Daphnia pulex: one gene and its partners. The protein of the gene in region 2 interacts with the protein of the main gene of each other region in a pairwise test. Links are inferred from orthologs where the notes say so. Each region holds a gene or a part of one and is shown on either strand. Other genes may lie near its edges.

What was found. The genes of interacting proteins can lie anywhere in the genome.
Region 1: the proteins of cysteine protease ATG4B-like (region 2) and microtubule-associated proteins 1A/1B light chain 3A-like interact in binary tests that used the Caenorhabditis elegans proteins (3 or more experiments, as listed by UniProt). The link is inferred for Daphnia pulex from reciprocal best matches to the Caenorhabditis elegans genes atg-4.1 and lgg-2.
Region 3: the proteins of cysteine protease ATG4B-like (region 2) and gamma-aminobutyric acid receptor-associated protein interact in binary tests that used the Caenorhabditis elegans proteins (3 or more experiments, as listed by UniProt). The link is inferred for Daphnia pulex from reciprocal best matches to the Caenorhabditis elegans genes atg-4.1 and lgg-1.

Annotation. Positions count from the first base shown.
Region 1 is NC_060019.1:5,714,170-5,719,429, reverse strand, and holds microtubule-associated proteins 1A/1B light chain 3A-like, read left to right. Parts: upstream 1-1,732; 5' UTR 1,733-2,448; coding exon 2,449-2,494; intron 2,495-2,578; coding exon 2,579-2,741; intron 2,742-2,928; coding exon 2,929-3,091; 3' UTR 3,092-3,647; downstream 3,648-5,260. Other genes in the region: cytosolic beta-glucosidase-like, read left to right, coding at 3,989-4,145, 4,224-4,354, 4,457-4,588, 4,713-4,835, 4,919-4,967, 5,089-5,115, 5,188-5,260. UniProt on the Caenorhabditis elegans protein: Ubiquitin-like modifier involved in the formation of autophagosomal vacuoles (autophagosomes). When lipidated mediates tethering between adjacent membranes and stimulates membrane fusion. Less effective at promoting membrane fusion than lgg-1.
Region 2 is NC_060025.1:3,217,099-3,222,290, reverse strand, and holds cysteine protease ATG4B-like, read left to right. Parts: upstream 1-1,873; 5' UTR 1,874-2,068; coding exon 2,069-2,261; intron 2,262-2,328; coding exon 2,329-2,493; intron 2,494-2,546; coding exon 2,547-2,733; intron 2,734-2,798; coding exon 2,799-2,878; intron 2,879-2,955; coding exon 2,956-3,083; intron 3,084-3,157; coding exon 3,158-3,236; intron 3,237-3,288; coding exon 3,289-3,428; intron 3,429-3,489; coding exon 3,490-3,693; 3' UTR 3,694-3,885; downstream 3,886-5,192. Other genes in the region: glutathione S-transferase Mu 3-like, read left to right, coding at 448-483, 570-710, 785-967, 1,043-1,138, 1,301-1,501; multiple inositol polyphosphate phosphatase 1-like, read right to left, coding at 4,076-4,362, 4,421-4,497, 4,563-4,672, 4,748-4,848, 4,910-5,060, 5,133-5,192. UniProt on the Caenorhabditis elegans protein: Cysteine protease required for autophagy. Cleaves the C-terminal amino acid of ATG8 family proteins lgg-1, to reveal a C-terminal glycine.
Region 3 is NC_060018.1:4,839,747-4,843,944, reverse strand, and holds gamma-aminobutyric acid receptor-associated protein, read left to right. Parts: upstream 1-1,570; 5' UTR 1,571-1,751; coding exon 1,752-1,841; intron 1,842-2,061; coding exon 2,062-2,325; 3' UTR 2,326-2,579; downstream 2,580-4,198. Other genes in the region: 26S proteasome non-ATPase regulatory subunit 10-like, read right to left, coding at 2,580-2,632, 2,713-2,877, 2,934-3,089, 3,163-3,214, 3,288-3,401, 3,473-3,616. UniProt on the Caenorhabditis elegans protein: Ubiquitin-like modifier involved in the formation of autophagosomal vacuoles (autophagosomes). When lipidated mediates tethering between adjacent membranes and stimulates membrane fusion during autophagy. Recruits lipidated-lgg-2 to maturing autophagosomes.

The sequences.
Region 1 (5,260 bases), on a different chromosome or scaffold from region 2:
TTCGTTTTCGTTCAAAAATAAAACATTAAAACGCAACGACCAAACATGGTAGAAGAGGGGGAATGGCGATTGGCGGGAAAGAAAATACCGGATGAATGCACCCCGCTTATGTGAAGTTGAATGGAAAAATTTTGTTCTTTTTCTTTTCTTTTTTATCTTTTTGGGGTTCAGGGGGTAGCCGCCGCCATTTTGTAGGGAGGGATTGGGTGAATTTTTTTTAACCCCCGAAAAAAAAATCCCTGACAATTTCAAAAAATCCAAGAGGCCCCTTGGGGCCAAACCGAAAATATTAGGGGGAAAAGAAGATGACACAAACACAGACGAACGACATCTACCCCCCTCCTCCTCCTATGCTGGCTAATGAAATGGAAACCAAACATGAAAATGTCAACTATTCGTATTTTTTCGCCGGTATTATTACTGTTTGGCTTGTGTGTGTGTGTGACGTCTGTGAGTATAATAATAATCTGAGAGAGTTTGTGTGTGTGTGGCGAAAGTCGGCGACACAACACACAGCGATAAGATTACGATTGGGAAATGGAAAAACTTTTTTTCCACACACAAGATGGCCGACATATATATTTACACACCTGATTGGAAATGGTTATAACCATTTGACACATTTTACGACGGCTCGAATTAAAAAAAAAAAAATTATTACCTGGCGAAAATCGACGAAAATGTGATTTTTGCAGGATTAAAGATGGCGGCAGCAGTCGATGACGAATTGCATTCCAACCGATTTCTTCTGATTTCTTTTTCTCGATTCAATTTTTTTTTTTCGATTCGAATTTTTTGGGTGAGATGATCACTGACACACACACACACACACACACACGAGGTGGGGGTGCACACTGAATAGCCAAAAACTAACACGACACTTTCTTCTTGCCAAACGTTTGTGTTTCTTGTCGAGACGAATCTCGCGGGTGGTTTCAATTTGACCCCCAAATGATATCAGGAATTAAAAAAAAAAAGGTGGCGAAGCGAAAAACACACACACACACGATATAACATACACCACCACCACTCACACCACTCGCACTTGAGCCGCGTTGTTGTAGCTGCTGCTGGTTTTTTCTGCTACTCCACAGCTGATGGAATCCTCCATCTTGGACGCGAGACTGGTGGCAAATATTTCCAACAACACAGACCCCCTCCTCCTCCTTCGACCGGCTTACCAGACAAAAATTGCTTCCAAAAGTTGAATCGATTTTTCCCCAATCCACGAATAACAGAATTCGACGCGGAAAATGGCCGGTAAATTGAAAACGAGAGAGAAATCCCCTCCCCAATGAAAAAATTGAAGTTTCCGGGGATTTTGAAGAGAAAAACTTGTGGGGGGGCAGAGAAGAACAATGGCCGCGCTGGAGCCGTCTGCTGTGCAGTTTCAAAATGAAAAACCAACTGTGTAAGACACTTTTGATCACACACACACACCAATTTGGATGATCAATTGATTTTTCACGAACAAGTTGATTGTCAAAGTTGTTGTCACTGCACGGAACGCGAGGATTGGTGTTGTCCAAAAAGTGACGCGTGTGTGTCTCTGTGTGCAGACCTCAGTCTGTGTGTGTGTGAGCAAGGGAAATTCACACACTCTCATGCAGCCACACTCTGAGCCGTCTGTGGTGTCTGAACCAATCGCTGCTGTCGAAAATCCACGCGCGTCCTGTCGGAAAAAAAGATTGGACGCCCACTGCCATCTAGCGGCCGATTAATAAACGGTGAAAACTGCCATCTATGCTGGTTGGAGACAAAAGCCTCAAATGACGTCGAGTAACGCAAGACCAAGAAAGATAAAAATTGAAAGGATGAAAATAAAGAAAAAGAAATACGAGAGTGGGGAACTCAAGAACATTGAAAATGGAAAGGGAATATTCGGTCGAGACTCTATTTGTATTTCATGGGGCTTTTTTTTTTCCTCTCTCCCTGCTGGGAGATGATGGGGAAATGGGTGTCTAATAAAAGTTTTTGCGTCTTTGGTAGTTTTTTGATTGCGCATTGCAAACTTATATATATACACTCGAACTTTTTTTTACGCAGTTCACGTTCGTCAGCCCCAGTTTGAGTTCTGGTTTTGTTGTTGTGACAGTGCACAGTCTGCTTCAACGTCATTCAGTCGTGTCGTCACACGCCTCGAAATTTTTCTCACCGAAAAGAGCAATATTTCCATTTTTTACTATTTCATTCCGCTCGTTGAATTTCCAACTTGTGGAGAGCAGAGAGAGGAAATCCATATTTTCAGCAACGAAAAGCGTCAAAAGTCGTCGATTGGAACACACGTAGTACATAACAGCCTGAGGCCAAGGACCTGCGCGTTAGTACCCAAACTCGCCTTCCTTTGTTGTTGTTTTGTTGTTGCTGGGTCGCTGGGGTGTCAGCTGTTTTTTCGCCCAAGAGTTGTTTCCTTTCTTTGCCTTGCACATTTTAGCTGCCACAAAAGTGATGAGCAAAATGACGCATACCTCCTTCAAAGAACGCAGGAATTACGGTGAGTTTGCAGTATTATACAATGTTCATTTGTCGATGTTGTTTTGATTGTGTCTCTTTCTTTCTCTACGACGATTTGTTATAGGTCAACGAGTCAAGGATGCGGACATGGTGAGAGAGCTTCACCCAAACAAGATTCCCATTATTGTCGAACGTTTCGCTGGGGAGAAGAATCTACCTCTCCTGGACAAGACTAAATTTCTTGTCCCCGATCATGTGACTGTTGCCGAGCTCATCAAAATATTGAGGTACCCATTTTGTAATCAGTGCAATCATCCTGGCCTCAATTCATTGTGGCTGCTAGAGCTCGTGTTTCTGAAGAGGGCAGCACTTTATTTTGTATCAATCAACTTGGCTTAACCCAATTTCACATTTTCTTGTGCAATGCAGCATTTATTTCATCATCCTTTTTATGATCTCTCCATTTGCCAATAGACGCCGTATGCAACTGAACCCCAATCAGGCCTTCTTCCTGCTGGTCAACCAACGCAGCATGGCCAGCATCTCCATGACTATGGGTGAACTCTTCCAAAGGGAACAGGATGAAGATGGTTTCCTCTACATGGTCTACGCTTCTCAAGAATCCTTCGGCAACTAAGCTGATGGCTAACCAACCAATATGGCTTCCCCCCACCTCCCGTCTGATCATGATTTCAACACAAAGAAAAAAAATATATGTACATATAAAGTTAGTTCCAATTTGAAGCAACAATTTGTGACAGATATCCTTTCAGCTTTGAAAGAGATGCTACAATAGCGAGACACAGTGTCTTAGATTCACTTTTCTCTAAATTTTTCTTTTTTGTGGACAACAGCAGCAGTGGCTTGTCTGGAAAAAAAAACAATGTTGGGTTACATTTCTCTTTCGGAACGATTGACATTTTGTTTTCCTTATCGTTTTAATATCATTATTATGTTTCGGTTTTCTGTTTTCGTCTTGTCGGATCAGTGTTCAATCTTGCAAACCGTACTTATGTAATAATCACACAGAATTTTGTTTTCTCATTGTTCCGAGACACAAAGGAAAAAAAAATGATAAATGTACAAAAAAATGATTCATTTTTTGAGATGAAGAGTGTGTCTGTATACCCGCGATTCGAATTCTGTTAACGTACTTGTGTAAATCGTTTGAATAAACGTATTCAAACCACGGACGGCTGACATTACGCCCATTGGTTTCGCTAAATTATTATCACCTAAAACAAAGAGAATGTTGCCGTGCGCACAGCTTTGGTTGTCGTAATGTTTGTATTGGTCGATAACACCATGATAAACACGCTGACGCCACAGCCTGGCCATCAATATAAAGTGCGATAAAGAATCCCCACCAATAAACGGCATCGTGACCAGCAGTTACGTGTTCAATCGATCGTTCGTGAACGTTCGAAGCTGTACGGTTTCAATTTAACAGGTCTGTTTGATAACCAAATATCGGGGTTTTTTAACCGTTATACTTTAATTGCCATTCAATTGTGTGTATATATGTAGATAGAAGATGGTGATGAAATTTGCATATTGGCTACTGGTAATAGCCGGCGCTGCGGCCGGAGTTTACGTGGATGAGCCACTGCTCTACGACACGTTTCCACCCGATTTTATTTGGGCCGCCGCCACCAGTGCACACCAAATTGAAGGCGGATGGGACGCGGACGGTAGCCGCCTAATGACATGTCCATTAGTCTCGACACTTTTTTTTCAAATCAAATTCCTTTGAAAATGTAAATTTCCAGGTAAGGGGCTGAACATTTGGGATGTCTACACGACCAATTCGAGCGTGGTGTTAGACGGGTCAACCGGTCAGACGGCCTGCAACAGCTATTACTTTTACCAGAAAGACGTCAACGCCCTCCAGAGTTTGGGAGTATAAATGAATTCATTAACTTGATCTATTCGATACACTATATGCTACTGCATGTAGCCTTACAACCCACTCATTATCTTCTTATGGTGATGATCTCCAAAGGTGTCTCATTATCGTTTCTCCATCTCGTGGGCTCGAGTTCTACCCAACGGCATCGGTGAAGTTAACCAGCCGGGCGTCGACTACTACAAGCGACTGATTGCAGCACTCAAAGCCGCCAATATTGAACCCATGGTGAATAAATAATCATTTCATTTCGTAAAATAATAGGTCGATGGCCTCTGTCTATAACCTATTTCCCTGGATATTCCTATATTATACCTTGGGGTGATTTTTTTCTTCTTCTTCAAATAATTAGGTGACTCTGTACCACTGGGACTTGCCGCAAGCACTGGAAGACATGGGCGGATGGCTAAATCCTAGCATCGCCGATTGGTTCGAAGAATACGCCCGTCTCTGCTACACAGAATTCGGCAATGACGTAACACAATTTTTCGGTCGTTACTTTAACGCATTTAGAATAATTGTTGACGTTTTATTGTCATTGCTGAATGTTTTTCCAAGGTCAAAATCTGGATCACAATTAACGAGCCGTGGGTTGTGGCGTACCAAGGTGAAATGAAATGATAAACATTTCTAGCGCTTCGGGCGCTCTAGAATAATGATATTTATTTAAGGAAAATGGCCAAAAAAGAAACGAATGTCATTGAATTTTTTTTTTCTTTTTCTTTTAGGATACGGATCGGGCATCAACGCTCCAGGTATAATTGCGATTTTCTGTTTATCGTGTCTTGAGACAATTGTGAAAATTATAACAAAAATGATTGAAACAGGAAAGTACGGCCCTGGAACATACACCTACCAATCTGGCCACAATTTAATTTTAGCCCACGCCAGAGCTTATCG
Region 2 (5,192 bases):
TGGGGAATACAACGTTAACGAAAAATGTAATTCTTATTGATTACTGTTCATAAAGATTCTTTGTGCAATACTCTATAAACGGAACCAGACGCGGAGCGTTGCAGGCTTGCGGCCGTGTATTTAGAGTTGCGCAGGTCGCGTTTGTCATGCAAGATACATTTATGACTATCACGGTATCCGGTTGTACTCGATTGTTGAAAACTAAAGTATTCATAATTTTGGATAGGAATTATTAACATTTCGTCCAAACATTGGAAATGCGCAATTGCGCATCAATCGCTTTATCACTTCACACATTGTAGATTGTACTATGCCCCTTCCCATCCCTCAACTTTGTAATCTTTTTCCTAAGCGCACAGGCTTACTGAGTCGTGAGTCATTCGAGCGATTCGACTCCTGAGAGAAGAACGTCTGCAGTACAGTACGGCTACTTTACCTGACTTTATCATGGCTGTCAAAACTGGTTATTGGAATATTCGTGGGGTAAGTTAATTAAGAAAAGAACATTCAACTGTTTTTGTCTCAATCGTTTTCGAAACTGTGTTTGACAATTTTGGTGTAAATAATAGTACATGCAACCTATTCGACTTCTTTTGGCCCATGCCGGGGTTGAGTATGAGGAGAAGCGTTATAATGTTGGACCGGCTCCCGACTATGACCCGAGTGAGTGGTTGAACAACAAATTTAACCTTGGTCTGGATTTCCCGAATGTAAGTATATCTGCTATTTAATGAACATGTTGGTGAGTGCAGATGATTTTTTTAATGTCATGTGTCTTTATTAGTGCCCTTACTACATTGATGGAGATGTCAAGCTTTCACAAACTTTTGCCATTCTGAAATATTTGGGTCGCAAGCATAACATGGCAGCCAAGACTGAGGAGGAGCAAATCAGAGTGGACTTGATAGAGGCAGAAGCCATTGATATGCGTTCAAAGTGGTCCACACTGTGCTATCATGATGATTTTGTGAGTATAATTTAAACAGCATTTTCAATATTTGTGTATGCTTTGACTGTTTCTTCTTCTCAATGTTTATTACAGGAGAAGATGAAACCAGATTACATTAAAAATGTTGCAGTGAAGTTGAAGGAAGTTTCCACCTTTCTGGGAAGTCACCCATATTTTGCAGGACAGAATGTATGGTGACATTTTCTTTTTAGACCTTTAACAGCCAATGTAAAATTTCACAGCAAAAAGATTGCAATTTTTGAAAATGAAGTTTCATCAGCCTGGTGAAATTTTCTTTTTAGACTTTCAATTGCCAATGTAACCTTTTTAATTATTGAATTTTTTTTAAAGATAACCCACATGGACTTTGTGATGTATGAATTGTTGGACCAGAACTCTCAATTGATTCCTGGATTACTTGATGAATTCCCTAATCTGAAAGAATTTCACGCGGGAATCGGAGCGCTAGAAAAAGTTGCAGCTTATCTCAGTTCGGATAAATGCATCAAGTATCCTTTCAATGGACCTATGGCTCAGTGGGGCGGAAAATAAGCAAAATCGATGTCTACCATACTCATCTTTGAATTTTCTAATGTTAGACACTTAGACTTAACTTAGGCCCTTAGACTTCACTAGATAAAATTTGTTTTACAATTTACAAAGTTATCCAACATTCCTTGTTAATCAATTCAACACATTGTTTAAAAAAATGTCATTCTCAATTATTGTTTATAAAAAAATATGTTATTATGGTTAAATCTAAATTTTTCTTTTTCATCATTTTATTATGCCCTTTTTATTAGTTGGCTTGGCGGTATAGTATATTACGCGTACAACGGAGCGTTGCAGCCGTGTATTTTTACTCGCGCAGGGTAAGCAGGATGACTTGCCCGTTTCTACAGGATATAATTATGAATATCAAGTTCAATCGGTCATAGCTATTAGAGCCGATTAGAGTTAGAACCATGTTAGAACCATGATCTATAAATTGGTTTATAGTTAATTAGCAGTTTATAGATCATAGTTACAAAATCGGGCGCAAGGTGGCTTACTGTTGACATATTAGCAGACACATCAGCAAACTTGTTGTCAATTTGTAAATGGTAGTTTCGTCTCCGAATGCGATGCGTAATTCTAGTTATTAAGCTATTAATTTCCATTTTTAAAATTTTTGTTGTCAACACAAAAAGAATGCTTGAAGCCTGTGAAGCTTTTGTAACTTACGAGAGTGGCATCATTCTTGAACGTCAGGGATTCGAAGTGAATGATGAACCTGTATGGATACTCGGCCGAGAATACGACACAAAAACTAGTAGGCGTTTAATAGTCACTTCTAGCCAAGAACTTCACTCAATTCAAGATATTTTTTTTTTTCTTAGAACTGGATGAACTTAATTCAGATGTGAAGTCCAGACTGTTATTAACATATCGTAGAAATTTTCCTCCAATTGGAGATTCTGGTATGACTAGTGACCGTGGTTGGGGTTGTATGCTTCGTTGTGGCCAGATGGTTGTGGCACAGGCTCTAATTAATCAGCATTTAGGTGAAATTTTTAAATTCTAATGTTTTTTCCATGTTTAACATGATTTTTTATAGGAAGGGAACCATTTTGGCCAGTAGGGGATGATCAAAGAACAACTGAATCATATAAAAAGATTTTAAAGCTTTTTGAAGACAAGAAAACAGCAGTCTACTCTATTCACCAATTAGCTCAAATGGGAGTAAGTGAAGGCAAAGAAATCGGACAATGGTTTGGTCCCAACACTGTTGCCCAAGTCTTGAAGTAAGTGCAGTAATTTTAAAATGCTCACATACATTACTATGTTATTTTTTGAACCTTTCCTAAAGGAAATTATCTGAATATGATGAATGGTCAGCATTGAAGATCCATGTTGCTATGGATAATGCTGTTGTTATTGAAGAAATTGGTTAGTCACAACATCAATATGTCAAAGATCTTTTAAGAAAACTTCTTTACACTTTATCTTTTTATTTTATTATACAGAACAGTTATGTCACAAGAAAATCACCCCTACGGAAACGGAAACGTCTACGTGGAGTCCGCTCTTACTTGTTGTTCCCCTACGGTTAGGTTTACTGAACATCAATCCAATTTACATTGACAGTCTGAAGGTAACATTAGAATAATGTTGTAAATGTAGGATGTGTTTGATAATCATAAAGATATTTTTATTGTAAATTGCTAGGCTTGTCTTCAAATGCCTCAATCGATTGGAATGATCGGTGGGAAACCTAGTCAGGCCCTTTATTTTATTGGTTACGTTGGTATGTATAGACATCACTTACATCGGTTCAATTTTAATTGATGTTTTTATAGGAGACGACGTGGTTTTTCTGGATCCTCATTTGACCCAAAACGCTATCGATCTTGACGAAGATGAGTTCGACGACTCTTCTTATCATCCTGCCACATGTGCGCGGATCTCTTTTCAATCCATGGATCCCTCTTTAGCAGTGGTATGATATACGTAGAGAAAGACTAAGAAAATTATGTCTTATTTTGTTTCTCGCATTTTAGTGTTTTTCGTGCACTACACATTCCGAATGGAAGGATTTGCTTCGACAATTTAAAGACATGACTGAAATAGGAAAGAAACAAAATCTATTTGAAGTGTGCAGTCAAAGACAAGCGGAGTGGCATCCGAGTACCACGGATTTAGCGGATGAAGCCATTGCTCTTGACAGCGCGGATTCAGAGGATGAATTCGAGATCTTGGGTTGATTTCTTTTGAGTTCTTCTGAACGATGTGTCTTACTTTAGATTTCATACGAATAATTTGTCTGCGATTTGTCTGCGACTTTGTTCATTATAATAACGACCGACAAAGACTTCGAAAAACGTTATTTTAAATCGATTTTTTTTGCCAGATTCCTATCACGAAGCGTTTAAAAATACAATTAAATGGTAAATATCGTGCCAAGCATTTTTAATACGTGAAATATCGCATCATATTAAAACGGAGATACCCAATACCCGAGAACCACGTTTATATCTGATTGAAAGCATCGAAACCAGGTGTCACATTACATATGCAAAGTTTTTGGCCCCTATTAAATGCACTTATTGAATATTGGCTAGGGTACAACATATTGGAATAAAATGATTAGATACGGCAGATGTCATCAACATTACAAGAAGTGGCAAATTTTTCGTATTTTTTCGTGAAATCTGAATACTTGCATAGCTCACTTGAGCATCCAGGCAGCATGATAGGACGTTCTTGTACGTAAGCAGTGATATAGTGGCCATCCGAGCAGTTGAAAAGGACCAGCGCTAGGTGGGCGGCAAAAGAATTAATCAATGACGTGCGCCATTCCCGATTCTTCATAAGATGGCGATTTGTATGTTTCATTTCGATGGGATCTTTAAATAATCCAAATCGGGCCATCACTGTGCAACACAAAATTTATTATGATCAAATAATGCTATAAATAATATAGAAAATCACCTTTAAGAAGAGTTGCAGTATGAGTAAAGTAAAAGATTCCCTTTGGATTTGAAGAAGCTGGATTTTCCACAACATGCCTGGAGTTGAAGGAAAAATGACGACACTGTGCGACTGTATATTTATATTTCTTTTATGTCTTTACCTAAAACTATCGTAGACGTTCTTCAACGGCATACAAGCCTGTTCGTAATTTATGGGAAACCCATATCCGTCTTCATAGTAATATTTCAGATCCTCGCGATATTCAAGTATCTAAAAGGTTGCGATTAATAGAAAAGAAGTTATCCTTGATTAACTACATTGAACTTTTTAATCACAACTCTGAACCTTAAGGTCTTCTTTGCTGAAAACTGCGCACCACGGCGAAAGCTTCTTTGGACGCCAAGCTTTATCAAACGTGCACATAGTGTACATTTCATTAATATCATCTAAAAAGCACAAATTATTCGTTAGTTATAAAATATTCAGTTAACGTTGGCGATTTCTTACTGAGGTTGAGTGGAGATAAGAAACCCAACCGATTGGTAACGGATTGGATGACAGATAACATTTCACCCGATTCTTCAAAAAGCGTTTTTTCAATTAAGGCTTTCTTCTTTTTATGAACTTCATTTCTCCATTTATCACATATTTCATCGAACTATTTGAAGAGAGTAAACGTTGTAATTTGTTGATGAACGTAATAACATAAAATTAGAAAAGAAAAAAATACTTTCAATAGGCTATCTGGTGAATTCAACTCCTGGAAGAACACATTAGGAATGTCTTTTTT
Region 3 (4,198 bases), on a different chromosome or scaffold from region 2:
GCCAACTAAACTAGCCGCAGTGTATAGTGTAAAATAAAATTGGTGAATAACAGCAGACGAAAACAAAATCCATGAAAGAATAAGGAAAAAGCCTCGTCGTTAAAAGACAAATTTGATGAACACAATTTTTATTATAATGAACGTTCCTAACAAAACTCAAATATTTGAGTTGTTCCGATCTTGTATCCGTTACAGTGGGCAGTTAAAACTATCCGACAAACGTTTGGTTTCAAAGAGAATCAAAAGTGAGTTTCACAAGAACAAAACACTTTCGAATCCAGAAGAAATTTGCAAAGCCTACGAGGTTGAAATTATTTTATAGTGTTTCATTAGTGATAATTCAATTTAAAATATGTTTTTTTTTGCAGAAGGGACAAAGTTTTCTGTCCAAGAGGAGATTGCTGTGACAAATATGGCTAAAAAATTCACAGTACTAGTCCAGTCGTTGAAAAGAACTGTGTGTCCAGCACATTATCGATACAAACATACATTTGATAATTCAAAAGTGCCAGTTTTACATCCTGAAGATTTAGAAGAGGAATTTACACGAGGAAGTGGCCCTGGAGGACAAGCTGTAAATAAAACTTCAAATGCTGTACTTTTACGTCACAAACCTTCAGGGTTACTTGTTAAGTGTCACCAGACTCGCTCGTTAGCTAAAAACAGAGAATTAGCCCGTGAAATCTTAACCCAAAAACTCGATAATCTAATCAATGGGGAGGACAGTATTGAGGCACAAAAAAATAGATTGTTAGAAAAAAAGAGTAAAGATAACACTAGAAAATCAGAAAAATTGGCTGAATTAAAAGAGAAGTGGAAAAAGAGAGAAGGTATTGAATAGATATTGTGTAATGTGAATGTGTTATACTGTCATGGAATACATTAGTCTTTCTTTCTTCAAATGGTTTTGATATTCTTCATCTTAATTTTACTTTAAATTTGTAAAGTAATTTTGAGTAGTTCCTATAATTCTATAAATAAGCTAGCTCATTTATTTAGATAGCTAATTCATTTTTAAAGATTGCAACAGTAAAAAAAATTCTTATGAAATAAACTGTGTTTAATAATAAGTTATTAAAAGAAAGTGAAATGTAGCTAATGATATTTTCATCACTGTACACTGAATCCAGTTGATTTGAGCCCTTATTAGTCTATAGTCTATACTCTTAAACTTAATATAATAGTTCAAATATAAAAGATTTTGTTTTTATACTTTCGCAATCTGATTATATGAGAGACAAAATTCTAATTTTATAGATACAGCTTTAAATTTTTCTCATTACGATTGCATCATTCAATCGACAAATTTTCTCATTTGAATTTACCGCATGTGGATTTATGGATTGGACATTGGAGGATGGTTGGATAGTATCGATCGTTAGTCCTACTTAGTAGCAAAGGTTAAGACATTTCATATTTTGATTACTTTCAAATCACCATGTAACTTACTCGGGAAATTCTTAAATATTTATTTTTTTATCGTTTGAATGAATTGAAAAAGATAACTCACTTAATGAAAATACTGATATAAATCGAATCTTGCGAAATTTTGGGTAGTAGGCTATATCGATAGTTAAAACCTTAGCCTGCCCCTGCCAGCCCCTCTGTTTCTGCAAGAACAAAATAAAACGTACTGCGTCGTTTGTTGATAGAGACCTAAATTCTTTGTCGTTCACCATTTTAACTTTTTGTCAAGTTTACTCGCTCTGTGCGGTTTTCTCAAGCTGTCAAATAAAGAATTATCCACCATTATGAAGTGGCAATATAAAGAAGAACATCCTTTCGAAAAACGAAGAGCCGAGGGGGAGAAGATTCGTCGAAAATATCCTGATCGTGTCCCTGTAAGTCACTCTCCTTTGTTAGGGTATTTCCCTTCCATCACTTTTTGTTTACCAACTTTCTCTGAGAACAAGCCAAATTCAACCAGTTGAAACTCATTTGAAATTTATTGTTACTTAAAACTAGTGTTGTTCTATGAATTCAGAACTGTTTCAAATTATATCTGCTGAATATGTGAAACCTATCATTTTAATCTATTGGATTTTTTCAAACAATATTTAGGTCATTGTTGAAAAGGCTCCAAAAGCAAGGATTGGTGATCTGGATAAGAAAAAATATCTGGTTCCATCTGATCTTACTGTTGGCCAATTCTACTTCTTAATTCGCAAACGAATCCATCTGCGACCTGAGGATGCATTGTTTTTCTTTGTCAACAATGTAATTCCTCCTACTTGTGCTACAATGGGAACTTTGTATCAGGAACATCACGAAGAAGACTATTTTCTTTACATAGCTTATAGTGATGAAAGTGTCTATGGAAATTAATTATTTTTCAGACAGGTGCTTTCCATTGAAATGTCAGTGACATATTTCCTTTTAGAGCACTTTGTACACTGTATTCTGTTGCTCCCTTCTCCACATCTTCTTGACTAATAATCATACTCCAATTATTACATTTTGTCGATCAGAATTTCAGTTTCACCATGTTTGGGTGTTTGGTCTTTTTTCGTGTACAGTACAGTGTGTATGTATGATACATCTGTAATACAGTTACTGGCGTTAGATACACGGAAGTCAAATTAGAATGATCGGTGTACGTTCTCCGCCTCTTTCAATAGCATTTGGACGTGTTCTAAAAAAAATAATTATAAGAAAGATATAAAGTGAGGGAATTGATTTGTGTAACTCTTAAGCCATAGCATGTTCACTTACTCTTCTCTGAAGCAAAAGCAGAAGGTGGAGCTTTACTGTGAGTAGTCAAAATGAATGGATCAGCTCCTCTTTTCAAAAGATGATCAACTAGCCATTTCTCGCCTGTTGTAGCAGCCCAGTGTAAAGGAGTGAAACCAAATTCGTTCCTTGAGTTTACATCGCATCCTATTCCGAAAAGGTGCTTTAAAAAGGCAGAGTATAAACGTTTTTAAAAGCGGTACCTAGATTTGTGAGGCAGTCTATTATAAGAACACCACGCTGAATTTCGCTGCTTCGTTTTTGAGCACACTGAGCAGATTGAAGGCGACACGCGATTCCGTAGATAGCCATGTAAAGGGCACCATCTCCGTTAAGATTGTAGAATTCGTTATCCGCTCCTGAGAGCACGCAAGTTGAGTTCATCACTCTTTGTTCGATATTAGAAATAAAAATACTCGATTTTTAAATTACCGAATTCTAGCATGAACTGAATGAGTTTAAACGATCCTCCAAAGCAAGCTGACTAATAAAAAAGCATGAAAGAAGGTTAAAAAAATCTTGTTATGTTTTTGTTAATGCATCAATTTAACTGTTACCAAAAAAGGTGTTATATGGGAACGCTGCAAATTGCTACTCGGTGCATTAGGAGAAATCTGATGCTTTTTCATTAGAGCCACACAACGATCTTCGTTATTCATCTCAAATGGGAACTGCGCAAAAAGGTTATCAATAAAAAATTGTTTGAAACTTGATGATGCATATGAGTCATTTGAAAAGAAACCTTTGCTAAGTAGCAAACAAGATCAAGGTCTTCTTTTTCTTGATCAGAATGCTTTTTCTGGCGGCGATATAGGTCATAAAGGACAACAGCAGCAATCAACGACGAAGAAAGAGAAAATACCAGAAAAATTGCCGAATCAAACATAGCTTTCAATGGTTTTTGCGGTGTGATTCTGGAAACGAACAGATAAAAATGTAAAAAAAAAATTACGCAATTTCAGATATTCATACATTTCCTCAACGTTTACTTAAAGTAATTCACGGTCGGAAAGCCTTAAGAAGTTTTCACGTCACGTAATTTCATTTTTCAACGTGCCAAAATTTGGCCACCATTTGATCTTTTTTAGTTTTGTTGTCATGAGCATGTCATAAGTTTACAACCCTGCACCCAAGTTCTGTTTAGAAATGGCGTATTTGGCTCGCAGAGTGGGTGTAACTCGCCAATAAATGCACTAGCTAATACTGTTTTACTTTCAAGAATTTTCTCGGTAGCAACGACCCATGTTTTGCACAAGTTGGAACTGTACAGCAAAACGAGAACACACTTCTATCATTGTCGTACAAGGATGACGTCATAGTTTAGCACGAGTTATTTCTAGGCTTTAAATAGAAGAAGTATTTGTTCAAAAACGCAGTTTCACAAAGAATGATAAAACGTAAGCACCGAATAGTAAACAAGAGATGAAACACGTGGCATTCGTAGAGAAAGAAGAGAATTTGGGGTGTT